Pelodiscus sinensis: one gene and its partner. The protein of the gene in region 2 interacts with the protein of the main gene of each other region in a pairwise test. Links are inferred from orthologs where the notes say so. Each region holds a gene or a part of one and is shown on either strand. Other genes may lie near its edges.

Region 1 (8,008 bases), on a different chromosome or scaffold from region 2:
AGCTTGGGGGAGCATCAGCAGGTGTCAAAATACTGCATATGGAATTACTGCAAGACTGTAAAAGAAAAAAAACTGCCTCTTTACTACTCGAACAATGACTATTCACCAGTCTTCAAGAGGTGAAAAGCCTTAAAATACATCCAAGCACTGAAAAATGTTTCCCTTCAGGACTTCCTATTAAATACGATGAATGTATTTCGAATGCATTATTCTAAGCAGGAAAAGGTACACTACAGAAGTTTAATATTTATAAACACCTATAACTGGTTCAAAATACGTGTTACACGATTACTAGTACTATGAAACTAACCTTTTTGCACAACAGTAAACAAAACAATAGAGTTCTTGAACTTAGTTTAGTTCTTCAGTAGACTTGCTATTCAAACAAAATTCTCCTCATACATAACTTACTACATTAATCCAGGAACAATCTCATTTTTCCACAAGTCAATACCAAGCATTAAAATAAAGAAGGAAAAAAAAGGAGTTTTAAGAGACCAAGTCCTTTAGTCATTCTTGGCATCAATACCTGTGTTGACAGCCTCTCACAAAAGTTTAAACATTTTTATTTCTTAGTACTGTTACAATGTGGGTTCTATGCATGTACAATAGCAGGTAAAATATCTATCCTCGTTCAAGTGTCATTTAACCTGCATGCCACCCAAATATACTAAAATGCATCCTTCCAAACTATTGCATATCCAAACTACATTGTACAGCAAAGTAAATATGTGACTAACTATAAAGTCCAATACTCAGCTCCTTTCAAAAGCCATTCACGTGTATTCATTTACCCTAAATGTGATTTGCTCCTTTGCAAAAAAAAAAAAAAAAAAAAAAAGTTAAGTACTCCTTGACAGGCAAACAGTATTTTCCTGTCATTCCGAATGCAACATGAAAACACAATGATGTACAATGAAGGCCACCTTGGAAGTTAATTACAGCAAAACAGTATGTCTATATCAGTGGCTCCAACCTTTTTAAGCATGAGATCACTTTTTGAATTTAAGTGCAATCCAGGATCTCTCTCAAACCCAAACACCCTTGCCCCACCCTCCTTCCCACCCTTTCTCCAAGGCCCTGCCCCTGCTCACTCCCTCCTCCATCTTTACTCACTTTTTTCAGGCTGGGGGAAGCGGTTTGGGGTGCAGGAGGGATTCCGGACTGAGGCCAGGGCTTGGAATGCAGGCTCCAGCTGGGCACCACTTACCACAGGTGGCTTCTGGGTGGTTGTGCAGGAGGCTAAGACAGGCTCACCCCAGCCTTGGTCCTGCACCACTCCCAAAAGCAGCCAACAAACTCTCTACATCCCTGCCCTTCTCTGCTTTGTGGAGATGGGGTACAGAGAGGAGCACCCTGACATCAGAAAAAAAAACCTTCCTCTTCCCGTGCCCTGCACAACAAGCAGGAGGTGGGGGATATCTCCAAGGTAGAGGGCAGGAGCAGCACAGCAGTGCTGAGAGGGGCAGCTGAAGTGCCAGCACTTCTGATAGCCTCCCAGACAAACTTGTCAGGATCACCTGTCAAAGGTTCCAAGTAGTACCAGTAGATACTGATCTACTGGATAGTGAGCACTGGTCTATATCTATGAGATTGATTTCTTAGTGGGATTACCTAAATCCACAAAAATGGGAGCAACTGACAAGCATTAGCTGACAAGCATTAACTGCCAAGATCACCTTATGTAAGAACAAGTGACAGAATTCAGAAGTAACTATGGTAAAGATGAACAAACCCAGCCACTTCAGACGTGCATCTGACCTGGGTATTAAAACATACACACTTTTCCTCGAAGTATTAATGATTATACCACACTAATACCTAGGTACACACTCAAAATTACTTTGCAATTCTTCACCCATCTAGCTAGGTTCTTGTATTTACACCTATTATCACCATACCCCAGCACCTCGGACAAGCAGCTCTAGGGACGCTTCTGCAAACAAACATCTTCCCTAGGGAGATCACTCACATGTCCATGAACAACGAGAGCCCAAATCCTGACAGCTGTAATTTGCCATCAAGTGTTCGAAAGACCCCGAAGGTCCTTCCTTCTAGCTCGCTGATGAGCTCAGTGGACACACGGCACAGGAGCCCCGAGCTGGCCTTTCGACTGTCCGGTCCATAGGTGCTTGGAGACTGTTTGTTTTCCCCGTTACATTCCAGCTCGGCTTTCCCCTTGGTATTTTCATACCCACTGGCTCTTCTGGTCCATCCCCCCCTTTGCCCCTTCTCCCCCCCCCCCCCCATTTATTTTCGTTCTGAGCATCCAGAGCTCGGGGACTCGGATGGGGGTTTTGCCCGCACGGCCCCATCTCTGCTCGGGCAAGTGCTACCGGCCCAGTGGCCGCTTTGCAAGGTTCCCCAACAAGCAGCCTTGCCCCAGCCCTCCCCTCCCCTACTGGGGGGACCCCCATGCACCACCCCGCCCCTCTCTACCCCTCGGCACCCACTGGGGGGACCCCCCATGGACCGCCCCGCCCCTCTCTACCCCTCGGCACCCACTGGGGGGACCCCCCCATGGACCGCCCCGCCCCTCTCTACCCCTCGGCACCCACTGGGGGGACCCCCTGGACCGCCCCGCCCCTCTCTGCCCCCCCGGCACCCACTGGGGGGACCCCCTGGACCGCCCCGCCCCTCTACCCACCGGCACCCACTGGGGGGACCCCCTGGACCGCCCCCCCTCTACCCACTCACTGGGGGGACCCCCCGGACCGCCCCGCCCCCCTGGCGCGGCGCTACCTCGCGGGTGGTGACCTCCTCCTTCTCGGAGATCTTGAGCAGCAGCCGGTCGTTCTCGAGCTCCAGCGCGCGCACGCGGTCGATGTAGTGCGCCAGGCGGTCGTTGAGCTGCCGCAGCTCCTCCTTCTCCTGCAGGCGCGAGAGGCGGGCGGGCGAGAGCGGGGTCCCGCCGGCGGCGCGGCTCGGGGTGCCCGACATGGCGGCGGGCTCATTCAATCCGGCCGCACCGCGCGCGGCAGGGAGGGCGCGGCAAGATGGCGGGGGCGCCGCCTCCTGGGCGCGCGCGCGGCGCCCGCTGGGAAATGGAGTCGCCGCGCAGGCGGAGCCGAAGATGGCGGGCAGCCCCGCCGCAGGGCATGCTGGGGGCTGTAGTCCGCGCTCGCCTCCATTTTGTATCCCCAGGCCCCAGCCTGCCCCCGATTTCATGGCGCCCTGGGCTGCCCCAGGCCCAGGCCACCGCTCAGCCTCCTGGCTCAGCACCTGCCCAGCTCCCCCCCACTCAATGCCCCCCAGCTAGGCCAGCCTGGCTGCCCCCCCCCCCGACCTACATTCCTGTCCACAAAGAGGACAACAACCTACTGCAGCTGCTAGTTCCTCAGGGCCCGTCTGCACAGCCGTTATATCGAAACAACATCGAACTGGAGGACTTCCTCCTTCTACCCCTCATTTTACAAGGAGAAAAAGAAGTCGAGGGAAGAGGGTTCCTACTTTGACAGCCTGCTGTGTAGACTGCACCAAAATCCCAATTAAGCTATTTGGACTCAACTGCGCAGTTGATGTAGCTGAAGTTGCGTGGCTTATTTCAGCTCCTGCCTGCTGGGTAGACCTAACCTCAGTGAGCTCAAGGGATTGAGATCTGTGCTGTAAATCTAACATTTCCAACCTCGGTAGCATCCTTTCTGGGAATCAATGTGACTGATGGAATGAGATGGTGAAATTTCTGTGTTTTTCAGTTTGTGCATTTAAAAATTCGTGCCTGACAGTGCAAGTCTAACATTCTTTTAATCAATGACTTGATTACCTGCATCCTGCTTCAAAGACATTTTAACACCAGACTTGAAAGAGAATCTTCTGAACTATCATTCATGCTTAAATTGACACTTTACACCTAGGTCTTAACAAATACATTAATTACCTTACCCATTACAAAGATACCTTACCCAATTATCACCTCTAATATCATTAGCTCACAGACATTTCCCCCCCCCCCCCCATCCCCTTTCTGTTCTGAAATTTGATTTGTCCTTTTCATATGTGTTCATTTTTTTTAATTGTATCCTTTGGTATATACGGCTGTGCCAATTTTCTTCCACTATTTGATCTGAGGAAGTGGGTCTGGCCCACAAAAGCTCATTGCCTAATAAACCATCTTGTTAGTCTTTAAAGTGGTACATCGTCCTGTTTTTTGTTTCATATACACCAGACTAACACGGCTACATTTCTATCACTATTCTTTTAGGGTAGTTTTTGCCCAATGTAATATCTACTGACCCTTAGCTGTACGTAGCTGTCCCCCTCACTGTGTATCTGTGCAGCTCATAGTCTCAAACATGGTTATCCTCACAACACCCAGGTGGAGAAGTGCAGTGCTCTGAAACACAGTGATGCTACATGACTCACCCAATGTCACACAGGAAGTCTGCGGCGAAGCAGGGAGTTGCACTCGGGTCTCAGATGTTTCTCAAAAGCAGCCACCGTGGCCACATGCAGCAACCAAGAGCTTTTCTTGTGGCCAAAGCTTCCTGGTTGGTGAGTGGGGGATGGGAACAGAGAAGCGGGTCTTTCCCAGTGTCTGCAAGAAGCAGTTGGACTCTGCCCTCCCCTGGAGCCACAAGCCCTGAAGGGGCAGGCAGCCAGTGAGTTCCCCACTTTCCCAAGGACAGTGGAGCTCTGGCTTCTGCTCTGTGGTGGCAGGCATCAGACTCTGGCCGTGTGGCGGAAGGCTCTGGCTACAGACTTGGGACTTCAGACTCATGCAACCGTGGGCTCCATCCCTCAGCCATAAGGCTTCAGGCTCATCAGCCCCTTCATTGCCCCACTGCTGCCCCCAGCCCTTTACCCATCCAGCCAGCCCCCACTGCCTCACTACCCACCTCCCCATCCAAGGCTTAATTTGTCCCCCACTTTGCAAGGACTGAGCAAGTCTGCTGTGAAAAGTGATATTTGTAAATTTAAAAACAACAAATAGTCCTGTGGCACCTTAGAGACTAACACACAATTTAACTTCTGTGCCAGGGAAGATAATGGACCAAGTAATTAAGGAATTCATCCGAAAACTTCTGGAAGATAATAAGGTGATAGGTAACAGTCAGCAGGGATTTGTAAAGAACAAATCATATCAAACCAATCTGATAGCTTTCTTTGATAGGATAACAAGCCTTGTGGATAAGGAGGAAGCGGTGGACGTGGTATACCTTAGACTTTAGTAAAGCATTTGATATGGTCTCGCATGATCTTATCAATAAACCAGGGAAATATCACTTAGATGGGGCTACTGTAAGGTGTGTGCATAATGGTTCACAATCATGCTGGAAGCACATAACAAGTGGGGTTCTGAAGGGGTCTGTTCTGGGACCGGTTCTGTTCAATATCTTCATCAATTACAGGGCGTCCCCACTATAAGTCGCCCCAGTATACATCATCCATTCCACACTAAAGTTGTTGATGTTTGTAGGAACTGATGTGTTATAAGCCCTCCCATTCCCCGCTATAAGCCATGTGAAACACTCCCCCCAATTTGCTTAAATGGAAGTCAGCCACGGGGAAAAAACTCCCTGCTTTAAGTTGTTTCGCTATAAGTCCAAGCTTTTTGGAACGTATCTTAGACTTATAGTGAGGATGGCCTGTATTTAGATATTGATATAGACAGTATGCTTACTAAGTTTGCAGATGATATGAAGCTGGGAGGGGTTGCAACTGCTTTGGAGGACAGAGTCATAATTCAAAATGATCTGGACAAACTGGAGAAATGGTCTGAGGTAAATAGGATGAAGTTTAATAAGAACAAATGCAAAGTGCTCTACTTAGGAAGGAACAATTAGTTTCACACATGCAGAATGAGAAGCAACTGCCTAGGGAGGAGTACAGCAGAAACGGATCTAGGGGTCATAGTGGACCACAAGCTAAATATGAATCAACAATGTGTCACTGTTGCAAAAAAAAACAAAAAACCAACCATGATTCTGGGCTGCATTAACAGGAGTGCAGTGAGCAAGACACGAGAACTCATTCTTCTGCTCTATTCTACACTGATTAGGCCTCTGTTGGAGTATTGTGTCCAGTTCTGAACACCACATTTCAAGAAAGATGTGGAGAAACTGTAGAAGGTCCAGAGAAGAGAAACAAAAATGATTAAAGGTCTAGAAAACATGAGCGATGAGGGAAGGCTGAAAGAATTGGGCTTGTTGAGTTTAGAAAAGAGAAGACAGAGAAGGGACATGATAGCAGTTTTCAGGTATCTAAAAGGGTGTGTCAGGGAGGAGGGGGAAAAACTGTTCTCCTTGGCCTCTGAGGATATGACAAGAAACAATGGGCTTAAATTGCAGCAATGGGGGGGGGGGGGGTTAGGTTGGACATCAGGAAAAACTTCCTAGCTGTACAGGGTGGAATAAATTGTCTAGGGAGCTTGTAGAATCTCCATCACTGGAGATATTTAAGAGCAAGTTAGATAGACATCTATCAGGGATAGTTTAGATCAGAGCTACTCGACATGCGGCCCGCAGCCTGTCTGTTTGCAGCCTGAAGTGAGGTTTGGGTTTACATGGGACTTAACATGTGGCCTGCAGGTAGGAGCCAAATCAAAAAAGTAGTCAATACAATGGTCTTCTGTTGATGCGTGTTTTAGTAGTTACATTCCTGGACTGTCATTGCTCATTAAAAGTGCTGTCATATGGGTGGAAATTGGGTAAATATTGCATTTCATCAGTATCAGCAGAACTGACTTAAATGGGGCCAGCATGTTGTGTAATCTTGCCTTAATCTTTGTATTCATGCCATTAGTGTGAAAAAAGCTATTTGAATATATTTGTATATATATGCAACCACACTTAAGTTGCGGCCCTCAGCACGTGCTGCGAGTATCATTGTGGCCCCCTGGGGCTTTCAAAGTTGAGTAGCCCTGATCTAGCTGGTGCCCGGTCCTGCCATGAGGGCAGGGGACTGGACTCGATGACTTCTTGAGGTCCCTTCCAGATCTAGTATTGTATGATTCAATAATATATATATATATATATATATATATATATATATATATATAGTATCATGAGCTTTCGAGGGCAAAACCCATTTCCTGCTCATCTCCCTGCTGCTCATCTGAGGAAGTGGATCGTGCCCACAAAGCTCATGATACTATCTATCTATATATGACTTTGTCTCTAAGGTGCCACAGGACTGCTCCTTGTTTCTAAAGTTACAGATTAACACGGCTCCTCCTCAGAGATATTTGTACATTTGTTAATGTCACTTTTGATGGCCTTCCAGGTAGCTAACAAATCAGCTGATGTGAAAAGCGATATTTACAAACAAGTCTGAAAATAAAACCCACAATCAAGAAAACAAGAGACACAACCACAATAAAAAAAGACAGCATGCAAAGTCATGTGAAACACTCCAGGCGGCGGGGGAAGGCTGCCGGGCCACTCCAGCTCCCCCCTTGGGCAAGTGTAGAGGGGGGCACCCCTGCACCAGGCCCACAGGTAATCCCCCAGCTCGCGTTGCTCAGGGGAGGGAGCAAAGGGGTGGAGCAGAGACAGGCTTAGGCGGTAGGAGGGTTGCCCTAGGCCCTGCGCCCCCCTTGGGACATCCCTGGATGTGGAACCCCTATAAACACCTTCCCTGGTACGTCTCTGATTTCAGATAGTCAAGGTGGAATAGGGGAGGAAAATCGCATTTAATCCTTTAACCGGTTAAATACTTAACACACCCCCCACCTGTGGCACAGGGGGCCGGCCGGACTGGAGCAGCCCCTGCCCGCGGGAAACGAAGGCGAGGGCCGCTGTCCAAGACACAGTGGGGCACGTGGTTACTCCTCACTTGCACACTTTCGGATCCTTGTGGGGGCGCTCTCCAGCGTTAACGCTGGGTTCCTGTTCATCAAAGCTGTCCTTTCTGATGCACAGACTCCAGGCTTGCGAGTGGGGGCGCTGCCGCTCAGAGGCAGCGGGGGCGGCCGTTATTCTTCCGAGTAGGGTTGCCAGATGGTTTAAAAAAAAAGACCGGACAAAAAAAAACTTCTCCCCCCTCCCCGGGAGACCTGGGGGGAGGGGTA
Region 2 (7,039 bases):
ATCCCAGTCTCTTTCCTCAGTCTCTCCCACCCAATACCCTGGCTCTTTGCGGAACTCTAACCTCCATCCCAATGGTTTCCCAGTCCCAATCTTTTCTCAAATCTTCCAGGTTGTCTCAGGCAACCTATTCCCACTCCCAGCTCTTGAGTAGGCCTGTGTCTGGTCCTCGTTTTATTAGAATCACACAAATTTTCCTACCAAACCACCTGAGCCTAGAAATTAGGGGAGGCTCACTGAGAACACAGAAGACCACCTCCTCTTAGCCTGAGGCAGCCAGCCAGCATGAAAAAGTGCAGCAGAGTTATAAGCAAATGACAAAAGGGTAGTATAATGGGTAATGCTGAACCTTAACAGGTAGGTGGTGCTTCTATACCTGTCAGAAATAAAAAAGTCCTTACCATGAACACCAAGATTAATTTGAAACAAGCAGCAACAGTATGAGGGAAAAGGGTTGTGGAGGAAGGCATGTATATGAGATCACTGAAAAATTAGCTATATTCACAATTTGATATTTTAATTCCTTTGCACATTAAAAAAAGTAACTGTAGCTCAAACCAGCCACTATTACTTAACAGTTCTCTTTTTTTCTACATTTAAGTTTGTTGCCTTTCACCTTTAGGTACACCTGACTCATCGTACACAAATCTAAACCCTTGAGAGCAACTCCTGAATCAGTAGCATTTGTACAGATCCAGGAACTCACTATGTTAACTAAAACTGAAAACTTGTAGGGAAGTTTGAACATGGGAGTACAGCAGAGAAGGCTTCTATGTAGTCTGCCCCTCACAGATACACAGAGCTCAAGTTATTGAACAGATATTGGGACTATATTCTGCAAATTTTAGTAAAGCTGAATGGACCCAAGATGCTAATTTTTAAGCAATATTATTAAATTACAACAATTTATTTTGGATTTCAAATTACAATGATTTATATCTAAACAAGTAGTATTTCAGTCATCACCATGATGAACCCGCAACAGCAGGATACTATTTCAGTGTTCCTTATAAGCTGTGCAGGCATTCAGGAGATTCAAATGCACTTCATCTGATTAGCAGAGCACCCACAGCTATTGCTTAAATAGCTCTTCACTCCATCACAAGGAAAGATTAGCATGCTTTACCAGTTACTAAGCACTTAAGTATCAATGCCACAAGATATGGCTTAGTCACTTTATATAAAATATGCAAGTGCTAGTATCACTGTTCTAAAACATACAATAGACTTATCCAGTCTCAAGAGAGACACATGGATGCTCACTGGACTAAACAAACCTTGTTTGGGGCTAACTTGAACAAGTAGAATAGTTTCACATCTAGCTTACTGAAAAAACCATAACCTTAGTGATGGCATACACTGGAGCTTAATTATCTTCTTGATATTTCCCTTGTCTTCTGCCAACTGTCTGATTATTTGTTAACTCACATTAAATCATGTCAGATACTGCATTTATGCTTCTTGGAAGCAGGAACACATGTAACTGTAGGCAAGTGGGCAACTCTATAGGGGAGAGTAAGTAAGTTTAGATCACAAAGACAATCCTGTGGATAGAAGCCTGGGATCTCTTCCTTTAATGAAGTTTAAGTTTCTGGACTTTCAGACATGGGAAAGCTGGTCTAAAACTTGGTCTTTCTTTATAAAATATTTTACACACAAACAGCAACACCTCTCTCCAATCCGAGTTACAACGTAAGAACCTAACATGCTACAAACACAATCGTTGCAGTTACCATATTATTTTATTTTGCATACTATAAATAAGCATCCACTAAAGAACTTCCCGCCCAGCAACTTCATTACTAAAGTGTACAGAAGCAGGAACAAGACCTGTCTTCCAGCAAAGCCGAACATTACACCCGCAGATATCCTAGCGCTAGCGGTCGGCATTCAGCGAGCTCCTGAGCCTCACACGACAAAGTACGCCCTAGCTTGAAGTAAAGAAAGGAAATCCCTCCGGCAAACTGCCCCTCTCCTTGAGCACAGGCAGGGAACAGCCCCGGCTGCCGCCGCAGCGCACCCCGCACGCTGGAGACCCTCGGGGAAGAGGTCTGTACCGAGAAGCTCATACCGGCCACTGAGAGCCGCTCTTGGCTCGCGGGGGCCGCAGGCGCCGAAAACTCTGGGCTGCGAGGAAGGCACCGCGCTCTCCCCTAACCCTAGTTCAAGCTCCGCAGACAGGCCGCGGCCGCCAGGGCGCGCCCCGCACCTCGGAGAGCGGGAAGCGGCGCACGCCGCCAGCAGCCCGCTCCCCAGGGGCGGGTCTACATGCGCGGGAAGGGTAAAGGGGCGGGAGCGCGGGCGGCAGGCAGGGGCCGCCAGAGCCCTTTGTGTGGCAGCGCTAAGCTCTCCGAGCGGCAGGGGGGGGCGGACTCTTACCCGGCCGGGGGTGCCGCCTCCTCCTCTGCCCCTGGGACCGAGCGGGGTGGGCTCCCTCTCCTCGTCGCTGGAGAAGTCGGGCGCGGCGGGCGCGTTGCGGGCGGTGAGGTGCTGCAGGTAGAGCTGCACGTACACGTCCTTGCGCTGCTCGCCGCCCGGCAGGCTCACATTGTTGGCGATCAGCTCGCTCTTCAGCTTCTCCTTGGTCAGCACCGACGGGTCCGCCAGGAACTCGGGCATCGCCGGCCTCTGCCGCTCTCCCGGGACAGACACCAACAAAGGGGGGAGGGGATGGGAAATCGCCTCCCCTGCCCAGCGCGATGAACCCCACTCGCGGCGCGCTCGGCGAGGGCTTCGCCCGACCTCCAGTAAAGCGCGTCCGGATTGGCCGGGCGACTCACGAAGTGGTGCTGCTATTGGCTGCGGGGGCGAGTGGGGGAGCGGCGCGAGGGTTTCACCAACATTAGTGCTTTGCGCGAGGAGTAGTAACGCAGTTTAAATTCAGCTCAGGCGGGAGAGGGGCTGGCGTGCTGCTGCCTCCCGCCCCCCGCCGGCGAGCACGGCACAAGCTCCCCCTCCCGCCTCTGACGTCTCCTCATTGGCGCCACATGAGCCCTCCCCGCCCAGAGGAGGTCGAGGCCTTTGCTGCTGGAGAAGGGCCGGGGCGACACCGCTGCCTGGGGAGGAAGTGCCCGACTCCCCTCCAGCCGCGCTCTGGCAGGGGCACCGCGGGGTTTGCTGCCCGCTGTTTCAGGGAGACGTGTCAGAGCTTCCTGGAGCCCGGCGCGAAGGCTCCATTGGTGGCGTGGGGACGGTTCCAGCGGCGGCCAGCCCCAGAGGCGTGATCGGAGCACCGCGTGTCCCATGGTTGTCACAACAGGCACGTTCAGTGGGAGGCTTGGGGATGTGCCTCCTCCTCGCACGCGGACCTGGCCTTCCCCAGCCTTGACCTGGGCACTGACCGGGCGGAGGAAATGGACTCCAGCCAAGAAGTTGCTTTTGCTATTAAAAGCTGCGAGTGCTACATAAAAATGAAATAAATCGCTTTACTGTATTGCAGTTTTTAAAGGGACGTTGCATTGCCCTTGAGTGCCGATGCCACAGCTTCTTCAGGAGTGAAGGAACGTGCCTATGAGGAACAGATTGCAGAACTAAACTAAGTGTTTGGGCAACACAGTGGCAAACGAAATTTAATGTTGATAAATGTAAAATAATGTGCATTAGAAAAATAGTCCGAGCTATACATACAAAATGATGGGGACTAATTTAGTTATAACTACTCCAGAGGGAGACCTTGGAGTCATTGTGGCTAGTTCTCTGAACATATCCACTCAATGTGCAGAAGCAGTCAAAAAAGCAAACAAAATCTTAGGAATCAATAAAAAGTGATAGAGAATAAAACAGAATAGCTTATTGCCTCTGTATAAAACTATGGCAAGCCCATATCTTGAATACTGTGTACAGAAGCGGTCGCCTCATTTAAAAAAAAATTGATAGTGGAAAAGGTTCAGAAATGGTTTGGAATGAGTCCCATATGAAGAAAGATTTAAAAGACTGGGGCTTTTCATTTTAGAAAAGAGGAGATTAAAGGGGGGATATGATAGAGGTCTATAATATAAATGATATGGAAGAAGTGAATAAGGAAACATTATTTACTTCTTCCCAAAACAGGAACTAGGGGTCACCAAATGAGATTAATCAGTAGCAGGTTTAAAACAAACAAAAGGAAGTTTTTCTTCATGCAACACACTGACAACCTGTGGAACTCCTTGCCAGAGGATATTGTGAAGACCAGGACGATAGAAGGGTTCAAAAAAGAACTGATAAATTCGTGGAAGTTAGGTCCATCAGTGGCTATTAGCCTAGATGGGTAGAAATGGTGTTTGTCAGAGGCTGGAAATGGATGTCAAGTGGAGGGGTCATTTGATGATTCCCTGTTCTGTTCACTCCTGGGGTATCTGGCATTGGTCACTGTTGGAAGACAGGATTCTGGGATATGTGGACCTTTGGTCTGACCCAGTATAGTCATTCTTATGTTCTTATGACTGAAACCATTGATTGTGCAAGGTCCTTGGGGCAATGAACTTGCTTTCTCACATTTGTAAAAGGTCCTATATATGGCTCTGGCACTAATAATGAAGTCAAATAGCCTGGAAATAAATAACCAATTTGTATTAATAGAATATTTTATGCATTTCTTAAAAAAACAAAGACAACTATTTTTATTTGAATCTAAATATTAGGGCTATCAAAGGATTTAAAATCACCATAGCAAGATATTAAACAGTTGTGATTAATCACAGTTTTAATCATACTGTTAAACATTAATGGAATACCAGTTTAAATTTATTATAAATATTTGGATGCTTTTCTACATTTTCTAATATTTTGATTTCATTAACAACACAAAATACAGAGTGTACATTGTTCACTTTATATTATTTTTATTGCAAATTTTTGCACGTTAAAAAGATAAATAATACCTTTCAATTTTCCTCTAAGTACTGTAGTGCAATCTTTTCGTCATCAAAGTACACCTATAAAGGTAGAATTTTTACTTTTAAAATAATTGGTTTCAATCAAAACCAAAACAATGTAAAACTTAGAGCTTACAAGTCCCTTCAGTTCTACTTCTTGTTCAGCCAATTGCTAAGTCAAACATCTGTTTAAGTTTAGAGGAGATAATGCTAATGCTTCTCATTTAAATGCTCTCAAGTTTTATGTTGTTTTATTTTTGAGCGCAGTTTAAAAAATTACAGTTATAAATTGCACTTTCACGATAAAGAGATTGGACTACAGTACTTTATAAAGTGAATTGAAAAATGTTCTTTCTTTTATCTTTTTTACGGTACAGATATTTTACTATATATTTAGAAATGAATCCGGAACCAAACTCTGCAACAAACCCTGTTGCCAGCTCTGTCTGCATATCTACTCAAGTGACACCATGACAGACCCTAATCATATCAGATTAATCTTGTCATCATCTACAACCCCCAACTTAAACCTGTCCAACACATTATCAATAAACTACAGCCTATACTGGAACAGGATACCATACTCCAAGAGGCTCTGGGAGACAGACCCATAGTCTCCTATAGACAACCACCTAACCTCAAGATGATTCTTACCAAGAATCAAGAACACATATTCCTGCGCATCCAGAAATATAATTTATGCTATCATGTGCCGAAAGTGTCAGTCTGCTATGTACATTGGACAAACATCTCAGACACTTCGCCAAAGGATTAATGCCCACAAAACAGATATCAGACAAGATCACAAAGAAATAACAGTTTCTTGCCATTTCAACCAGAAAGGACACTCTCTCAATGACTTAACCACCTGCATTCTGCTACAAAGACCTTTTACATCTGCACTTGAAAGGGAATCCTCTGAACTGTCATTCATGTTAAAATTCAACACTCTCCGGGAAGAAATGAACAAATGCTCAAACTATCTTACCCATTACCAAGATAGCTTCCCCAATTATCACCTCTAATACCATTAGTTCACAGACATCCCACTCTCCCCACCTCTAATATCATCAATTCACAGACACTTACCTTCCTTCCCCCCCTGTATCCCCCTCCTGTTCTGAAATGTGATTTGTCCTTTTCATATGTGTTCATTTTTTAATTGTATCCTTTGGTATATATGGTTGTGACTATTTTCTTCCACTATTTGATCTGAGGAAGTGGGTCCGGCCCACGAAAGCTCATCATCTAATAAACCATTTTGTTAGTCTTTAAAGTGCTACATTGTCCTGCATTTTGCTTCACCTAATCATATCAGCCACAGTATCAGGGGCTCCAGGGCTGGGGCCAGGGGAAAGTGGCCTCAGGGCTGTAGACAGCAGTGAGCACCGAAGTGCTACACTGTATCTACTCCATGAGGATGAGCATAACTACATTATTGCCCACTGGCTTTCACACGGGGAGTTACAGTGCAACACTTTGATGTGCATTGATGTTCATATCTCTATAGTCAGCTGCAGGTTTAGTGTAGGCATAGACATCATAGCATTGGTTTACACTCAGTTTACAATTTAAAGATTACCCCAACCATAGGCTCTCGAGGCTAAGTTATACCAGCATAGCTATATTAATGTAGCTACATTGGCATTACCTGCAGCATAGATGCAGCCTACACCAAAAGAATTCCCTCCCCCATATGTACAGAAACACCCAGTGAGGGTACCTATGTCAACAAAAACACAGACTTTTTACACCCCTGAGTAATCTTGTTATTTTTATCAGCTTTTTTAGTGTAGACTGTATGGTTAAACCACTGTAGTTATACTGGGGAGTCATCTCTGGTTTACACTTAACATTTAGATTGGCCTTTATACATCATTCAGTCAACTTAGTCTCCCATGTAGACACATCAAGACTAATAGAAAAATCCCTTTCTTGACATAGGTATTGTCAATTGGAGAGATGGAATACCTGTCTCAAAGGAAAAACTTATAGGCTGTTGTGGTGCCCTTTATTCTGGGATGAGTGGCTTTTTTGGTTAGCTTAAACTGCTTCCAAGGCAATATAGGCTAAGCTAGAAAAAAGCACTCATCTACCACAGTAAGAATGTTCACATGGGGAATTATACAAGTAACTATAGAACTTTAAATCACATTCTAATGCATGCCTGTAAAACTTCCTCATAT

Evidence for each region. The genes of interacting proteins can lie anywhere in the genome.
Region 1: the proteins of TMPO (region 2) and LMNB2 interact in a two-hybrid assay, tested with the Homo sapiens proteins (2 studies listed by BioGRID, with this or other methods). The link is inferred for Pelodiscus sinensis from reciprocal best matches to the Homo sapiens genes TMPO and LMNB2.

Annotation. Positions count from the first base shown.
Region 1 is NC_134729.1:26,162,623-26,170,630, forward strand, and holds the start of LMNB2 (lamin-B2), read right to left. Parts: upstream 3,016-8,008; 5' UTR 2,941-3,015; coding exon 2,743-2,940; intron 1-2,742. UniProt on the Homo sapiens protein: Lamins are intermediate filament proteins that assemble into a filamentous meshwork, and which constitute the major components of the nuclear lamina, a fibrous layer on the nucleoplasmic side of the inner nuclear membrane.
Region 2 is NC_134711.1:83,218,956-83,225,994, reverse strand, and holds the start of TMPO (thymopoietin), read right to left. Parts: upstream 3,010-7,039; 5' UTR 2,617-3,009; coding exon 2,377-2,616; intron 1-2,376. UniProt on the Homo sapiens protein: May help direct the assembly of the nuclear lamina and thereby help maintain the structural organization of the nuclear envelope. Possible receptor for attachment of lamin filaments to the inner nuclear membrane.